Ovis aries: one gene and its partner. The protein of the gene in region 2 interacts with the protein of the main gene of each other region in a biochemical or structural test. Links are inferred from orthologs where the notes say so. Each region holds a gene or a part of one and is shown on either strand. Other genes may lie near its edges.

Evidence for each region.
Region 1: the proteins of UPF2 (region 2) and UPF3A form a complex in vitro, tested with the Homo sapiens proteins (2 studies listed by IntAct, with this or other methods). The link is inferred for Ovis aries from reciprocal best matches to the Homo sapiens genes UPF2 and UPF3A.

Annotation. Positions count from the first base shown.
Region 1 is NC_056063.1:86,395,434-86,399,832, reverse strand, and holds the start of UPF3A (regulator of nonsense transcripts 3A), read right to left. Parts: upstream 3,005-4,399; 5' UTR 2,947-3,004; coding exon 2,743-2,946; intron 752-2,742; coding exon 645-751; intron 1-644. UniProt on the Homo sapiens protein: Involved in nonsense-mediated decay (NMD) of mRNAs containing premature stop codons by associating with the nuclear exon junction complex (EJC) and serving as link between the EJC core and NMD machinery.
Region 2 is NC_056066.1:16,039,229-16,043,041, reverse strand, and holds part of UPF2 (regulator of nonsense transcripts 2), read left to right. Parts: intron 1-1,423; coding exon 1,424-2,203; intron 2,204-3,813. UniProt on the Homo sapiens protein: Involved in nonsense-mediated decay (NMD) of mRNAs containing premature stop codons by associating with the nuclear exon junction complex (EJC).

The DNA of each region.
Region 1 (4,399 bases), on a different chromosome or scaffold from region 2:
AAAGCATCGACAGAAACATCTTACTACCAAGCTGCAAAAGAGAACAGAAAGAGACATAACTTAGCAGAGGTGGGCTGGAAGTAAGGGTGTCAGTTCTGGAAGGGACACTGGGGTCTGAGTTACATGGGTGTGCTCACTTGTTAAAACTCATTAGCTTATATATCTCATTTATTTGTTTTTCTTTCTTATATTTTAATACAACTTACTTCATATAAAAGGTAATATTAAATAATGTTTAGTGATATCCAAAACAAAATTAAGTAATATGGTGTTAGACTGCTTTTCTTTTTAGACTATGTTGATGCTATGGAGATACGTAAATCATTTTAAGGGAATTCAGTAATTCGACTAGGTGGAAATAACTTGAAGAAATAATGATCTGCGCTGATTTCTGCATACGTGTGAGAAAGAAGTTGAAACAGAGATGGCTTCTATTATCTATATTACTTTACCATCCAACGACAGTGCCTCTCTCTCTCTCTCTTTTTTTTTTTATCCCTTTTCTTGGCCCCACGGCACAGCCTGTGGGATCTTAGTGCCCCATTCAAGGGTTAAATCGGGCAGGCAGTGAAAGCTCGGAGTCCTATCCCCGGACCACCGGTGAGTTCCCGCTCGGCCTCCTAAGGCTGGTGAGGCCTTCTCACCTGACATCAGCAGTGAAGAACTCGAAGTAGTCGTGTGCAGGCAGTGGGTGCAGCTGCTGTTCCAGCTGCTCCTTGGTGAGGCTGGGCGGAAGCCGCCGGATGACCACCTGGTGAGAGAGGTCGCTGGTTGGATTCATTAGAACCTCATTCAGTTCAGTTCAGTTCAGCCGCTCAGTTGTGTCCGACTCTTTGCAACCCCATGAATCGCAGCACACCAGGCCTCCCTGTCCATCACCAACTCCCAGAGTTCACTCAGACTCATGTCCATCAAGTCGGTGATGCCATCCAGCCATCTCATCCTCTGTCAGCCCCTTCTCCTCCTGCCCCCAATCCCTCCCAGCATCAGAGTCTTTTCCAATGAGTCAGCTCTTCGCGTGAGGTGGCCAAAGTACTGGAGTTTCAGCTTTAGCATCATTCCTTCCAAAGAAACCCCAGGGCTGATTTCCTTCAGAATGGACTGGTTGGATCTCCTTGCAGTCCAAGGGACTCCCAAGAGTCTTCTCCAACACCACAGTTCAAAAGCATCCATTCTTAGGCGCTCAGCCTTCTTCACAGTCTAACTCTCACATCCATACATGACCACTGGAAAAACCAGAGCCTTGACTAGATGGACCTTAGTTGGCAAAATAATGTCTCTGCTTTTGAATATGCTGTCTAGGTTGGTCATAACTTTCCTTCCAAGGAGTAAGCATCTTTTAATTTCATGGCTGCAATCAACCATCTGCAGTGATTTTGGAGACCAAAAAAAATAAAGTCTGACACTGTTTCCACTGTTTCCCATCTATTTCCCATGAAGTGATGGGACCGGATGCCATGATCTTCGGTTTCTGGATGTTGAGCTTAAAGCCAACTTTTCACTCTCCACTTTCACTTTCATCAACAGGCTTTTTAGCTCTTCACTTTCTGCCATAAGGGTGGTGTCATCTGCATATCTGGGACACCACTTAGCAACTAAACAACAACCCACATCCCAGTCACCCCGTTTCTGCTCGGAATATCCAGCTCGGAGTATTTTAGGATATCATGGTTGTGAGAGGTGGACCGTAAAGAAGGCAGAACACCAAAGAATTGATGCCTTCCAACTGTGGTGCTGGAGAAGACTTCTGAGAAAGCCTTGGCCAACAAGGAGATCAAAGCAGTCAATCTTAAGGGAGATCAAACCCTGACTATTCACTAGAAGGACTGAAGCTGAAGCTCCTGTATTGTGGTCATCTGCTGCGAACACACGACTCATTGGAAAAGTCCCTGATGCTGGGAAAGATTGAGAGCAGGAGAAGAGGGCGTCAGAGGATGAGACAGACGGCTGCACAGCTTCACCGCTGCAATGAACATGAACTTGGGCAAACTCCGGAATATGGTGAGGGACAGGGAGGCCTGCCATGCTGCAGTCCATGCGGCGGCAGAGGCGGGCACGACTGGGCGACTGAACAACAACTTTCCTAAACTGCGTGAAATACGCGCACGGAGAACAAGGCTGTCAAGAGGGTAAGGAGGGCTCGATAGTCTAAAAGGGATCGGTGAGGTCAAAAACGGCTGCGGACAGTAGCACTTCCCCAGGCAATGGTCATTAAAGCCAGACAGCCAGCCGCCCGCACTGCGGCCCACGCGCTCAATACGACGCGGCCGGGCCTCCGCAGGCGGCTCCCCTCGGCGAGGAAAGCTACTACTGTGCGGCACTGGCGGGCCCCAGCGTCCCAGCCTCGCCGGGAAACACCCACAGGCTGAACTGACTTTTCTTCCTCCAGAGTCAGAAAAGTCTGAAAGTCGCTCGGTCTCGTCCGACTCTTTGTGACCCCATGGACTGCGCAGTCCATGGAATTCTCCAGGTCGGAACACTAGAGTGGGGAGCCGTTCCCGGCGCCAGAGGATCTTCCCGACCCAGGGATCGAACCCGGCTCTCCCGCACCGCGGGCGGAACCTCTGCCCGCTGAGCCACCGGGGGGGCCCAAGCGCGCTGCAGCGGGCAGCCAGTCGCTTCCTCGCCGGCCAGACGCCGCTGTCCGCGGTGCTGGAGAGCCAGCGGCCCCGCCCCCGCCCCTCAGGGCAGTCTACTCTCGCGAGGCTTGCCGGCCCCGCACCGCCCCCGCACCGCCCTCACTTTGCTCAGGACCGTCCTCTTTTCCTCGCGAGGTTTGCCTGCGCCGCTCCCACAGCCGGAGGCGGCGGCCAGCGGCGCTTCGGCCTCCCGCCGCGGAGACTCCCGGCGGAACTGACTTTCTGCGGATGATGGTTTCTCCCTCCCGCTCGGACCCCGCGTAGCAACGGCCACACCGGGGCCCCCGGCTCCATCCTCCGAGCGCATCCGTACCCAACGCGGCGCTGCCGCCGCTTCCCGTCAGAGCGGAAACCTCGCGAGATCTGGGCCGCCCCCACCGTTGTGAGGCCGCAAGTCCCCTCCCCCGCCCCGGGCCGCCGGCGCCGGAGACGCGGGCGCGGGAGGGGCGCGCGCCGCCCAGGGGCGGACCCGAGCTGCGCAGGGCGCGCCGTGGGCCTGGAGCCGCGGTTAGCGGGAAATTCGGGGCGCGAGCTTAGCCTCAGTAGGAGCTCTGAGCTGGGCGGGGCGAGGCGAGGCGGAATGTCTCCCGCGGAGAAGAAGCGTCCCAGGAGAATTACACAGGCGCACTTGACAGTGTTCTGTTTCGTGTGCTCAATCGTATCCGACTCTGCCACCCCGTGACTGTTCCCCGCCAGGCTCCTCCATGTGATTTTTTCAGGCAAGAGTACCGGAGCGGGTTTCCATTTCCTACTCCAGGGGATCTTCCCGACCCAGGGATCCAGCCTGCAGTCTGCATTTACAGGTGGATTCTTCACCACTGTGCCACGTGTTGACAGCCTTTTATTCTTTCCCAAGGAAATCTGAACGTTTCGTCAGAGAATAGCAGTTACATTTAAGAAAAAGCAAGGAAATGACAGCAAAAATCAGCACATGGCTTTCCCCTACGAAGTAGGAGGCATGCCCCATGCCCCAGAGTTAAGAGAAGAAATTGGCCGCAAAGTTTCATTTCACCTGCCCTTAGTGTTCAGGTGTCAGTGACTAGAGTAACTCAGACGCTCAGCACTCACAAAACAGGGCCTTAATGTTTCCAATATAATCTTCACTCATTTTTTGAAGCGCTCAATGGGACAGCAACCATGTTTTCCTTTTACAAACATGCAGGCAGAAGTACTTTTGGTTAGAATAATTCACATACAGGTTGATTTTTAAGTGTCATGCCTTTTCATATTTTCATGTTGACTATATTTTTCATTCATAGCACCTTCCGAGTACTTCAAGTACAAACGAGAATGGAGTAACTGAGGCATTAAGAGATGAGGGGAGTCGCTGGCAGCCACTGGGAGTAACTCAGTTTTAACTCGATCCATCTTAACTTTATCCAGGTTTAACTCAATCCAGTCTTTTATCTCTGAACCACTCGCTACCTATGGACAAACTCGAAATGTGTCGTTTTATTTATTTTTGGTCGGGTGGGGCTTTCCTGTGCACAGAGGGTTACCAGCTCCAGGCTTCAGCAGTTGCAGCTCCCTGGCTCTAGAGCACCAGCTTAGTTGCCCCGTGGCCTGTGGGATCTTCCAGGGCCCGGCATCAAACTGGTGCCCCTGCATTCTTAACCACTGCAGCACCAGGGAAGCCCAGAAATGTGTCACTTTAAATGAGCTAAAAAACTGAAAGAAAAAAAAGTTCCAAAACCAAGTTCTCAAAAACCCCAGAAAGGGGGCAAGGAGTCATTTTCATTATTTCATAAAGTCTAAAGGAA
Region 2 (3,813 bases):
GTTTTAGAATATTCAGAACTATGATTCTTGAGAATTTCTTGCTTATTTTCTATTTTACGTAAAATAATTTGGAAGGATATTTCATTTCACTGTAACTTTTGTTCTCTCACCCTTCCGATACAAAGAGCTTAAAAAAACAATGGTAACCAAAATGCGAACTTTTTATTTGGAAAAATTAAAGCATGTAAAAGATAGAATGGAATAAATTAGTATCCCTTCCCATCTACCCAGCATCTGCAATTACTTTTTTTTTCTTGAGTATTCTAAAGCATCACATTATTTCACCTGTAAATATATAGATAGGTAAGTATAAATATTTTCATTGTGTGTGTGTATATATTCATTATATATATATCAAAGTATTTTTAATAAAGATGATCATTGAGTTGTTGAATGCATGGAAGTAATGAGTTATACTCTCTTAACGAGTACTTTCACTGCTGATCTTGTTTTTGTGTGGCTGGGAGGCTTCTACGAGATTCATATCCCTGTTCTCAGAGATAGATGTAACTCTTTGTTAGCATATTGTAGCTATTAGTGGAAAAATCGTAGAATTATAGAGTAACTCAGGGTTGGTTATCTTAGAAAGATGAAAATCTGTTTTATTAGAAATTTATATTTTAAAGTTACATATTTTGGTGTCTTAGAAACCTCAGATTGTCCTCAATCTCCTACTCCTGCCTGGGTTATTTTACTACTTCTGCAGTTTAAACATGTCCCATCTTTCTAGTAGAAACATAACTAGATTTGATTTTAAATCTTCTCAGGATAAACTTGAGTCTGCTAACCTTTTATATAAAGTGCTTTTATCCTATAGTTTTTCTGGTTCCTAAATGAGCTTTTAATTATACTTGAATTTTAAGGCCTAAACTTTTATTAAGAAAGGTACTTTTATTAAGAAAGGTTTATTTAATGCTGAAGTATGGAAAAGTGGCACCTAACTCAAAGCATTTTAATGTATTTTCTAATTTTGTTCTTTAACTATTTTTTTTGTGGATTTTTTCCCTTTTGCCCAGTGCTTTTATTTGGTTTAGGCTTTATATTTTCCCAAACATATTACTTTGTTTTTTTGTATTAAGAATCCTGTGTTTTATCCATTTATTTTTTTCAGCTTTATTGAGTTACAATTGACAAGTAAATAGTTATATTCATTTAGCGTGCCAGTTGGCAGAATGGTTTTTAATCTAGTTATTTAAAATGCTCCACTCTACCACTTTTGGTGTTATCAGTAGAATGACTTCTCATTATCTTGTCATTAATCAGATGTCTTTAAAGTGGTGAAAGGGCCTTTTGCATCTCTTGTTCCTCTTGGATTTTGTTGCTTTTCTAATTTTTCATTGGCTTTCACTCTTATGGGAATCATCAGTTACGCTTCAAAATGTACAAGGTATCTTACTTGTTTGTTTATTTGTTTGTTATATAGAGAGAAAGAGGAATCCCTTCAGCTTCATCAGGAAGCTTGGGAACGACATCAGCTAAGGAAAGAACTTCGTAGCAAAAACCAAAATGCTCCAGACAACCGACCAGAGGAAAATTTCTTTAGCCGACTAGACTCAAGTTTGAAGAAAAATACCGCTTTTGTCAAGAAGCTAAAAACTATTACAGAACAACAGAGAGACTCCTTGTCCCATGATTTTAATGGCCTAAATTTAAGCAAATACATTGCAGAGGCTGTCGCTTCTATTGTGGAAGCAAAGCTAAAAATATCTGACGTGAATTGTGCTGTGCACTTATGCTCGCTCTTTCACCAGCGCTACGCCGACTTTGCCCCATCACTTCTTCAGGTTTGGAAAAAACATTTTGAAGCCAGGAAAGAAGAGAAAACACCTAACATTACCAAGTTAAGAACTGATTTGCGTTTCATTGCAGAATTGACAATAGTTGGGATTTTCACTGACAAGGAAGGTCTTTCCTTAATCTATGAACAGCTAAAAAATATTATTAATGCTGATCGGGAATCCCATACTCATGTTTCTGTGGTGATTAGTTTTTGTCGACATTGTGGAGATGATATTGCTGGACTTGTACCAAGGAAAGTAAAGAGTGCTGCAGAGAAGTTTAATTTGAGTTTTCCTCCTAGTGAGATAATTAGTCCAGAGAAACAGCAACCTTTCCAGAATCTTTTAAAAGAATACTTTACGTCTTTGACCAAACATCTGAAAAGGGACCACAGGGAGCTACAGAATACTGAGAGACAAAACAGGTGATTTTCAAACGTTTCTCAGAATTGAGAATTTATTTTGGAGCTCATACTTTAAAAAATGTAAAGTCTTCATGCCACTGAAAGAACGTGTGGAAAAGGGCTTATTGCAGGTGATTTCTTAACATTCCAGGAAAATTTCACAGGGTAATAACAGTCTAAATACTCATGTTTAAATGTGAGTTTTTGATAGATTTTGTTTCTGATTTAAAAAAAAGAAATTCGGCAAGTATATGATGATTTTTACATTGTGGATTTTTACTGTGATTTAAAAATCTCCTTAACATTGAGGGATAAGTTTTCTTTTTCTATCACTTTAACTTATCTGTTATTATTTTTTTGTGTCTTTCACTGTTTCTTTTCTACAGCAGGTTTGCTTTTGTTTTGTATGTTAGTTTATTGACGTCACCATTGATACTCGCTCTTTTCAAGAGAATAAGTCATTCATGAGTGATATTTTAGATCAGAAATGTGGAAAATAGTGTACCAAAGTAGCTGTGAAAAAATTCTTTAAATGCAACTATAAAGTGCATTTACAGGAGTCTTTTCTCCTGGGGACATCCATTCAAAATTCTAAAGGAATGATGTGTGTGCCTGTGGTGAAGATCCCTGATTTAGGCCACCCTTGATTGTTACAAGATACTGTAGACTGCTGTGTATTATCTGCACCTAGAAGGCATCAAAAGGCTAGAAGTTGATGTAGTTGGTGGATATTAGATCAGTATGGAGGTGTGTATGTGGAGCAGGGCTGAGGGTGTGCAGAAAGGAGGTACAAGCGTTAGCCTTTGGCTGAATACTCTGCACCTATTTTAAAGTTCCTGTGTGGGGAGAACACTTACTCTTATAAGCCTGTAGTTGGGGAGGACTGGTTTACGTAGTTACCTCTAGAAGGTACTTAACTTAGCCACAAAAGATTGCAATAGTGAGTTGTTCGCTTAGGTAAGAGATAAGATTGGAGCAGAGGCTATATGGATAAATCTGTGGTGGCTGAAGCTCACTCAGAGGTGAGAATTTAAGATGGCAGTGGTGTTCCTTAATGTTTCATAAAACAATCCTCATTTTGTGCTTTTGAATAGCGAGGACTGTTTTAAACTTTGAAGAGCCAACTTCAGAATGTACTTCTATAGCCAGTAATGGGTTAAAAAAGAAAGTAGTGGTCCTCTATTAATAATTTTCACATATATTAGCTTTCTTAGTTACAATTTACATAGTCATTTTTACAGTCTTTTTCCTTTTCACATATGTTTTACCTAATATGTCGCAGGTGATTTTGAAAGTATGGTCTTTGATTTTTTTTTGGCTACTTTCTAAGGTTTTTTTTTTTTTAATTGAACTTCATATTTTGTGTTGGAGTATAGCCAATTAACAGTGTTTTGATAGTTTCAGGTGGACAGCAAAGAGACTCAGCCATACATATAAATGTATCCTTTCTACAGTTTGTGTTTTTGATTGGCCTCACAGAAGCTTTTAGGGCAGAGTCTATAATGATTTAATCTAGTCATACTTCCAATGCATAGATTATCTGACATAAATTATTTTGGAAACTTCTTGAGCTTAGTGCTCTGAGCCATTCCACTGTTGGACACACCTATTCCTAGCCTGTTTGCTGGGAA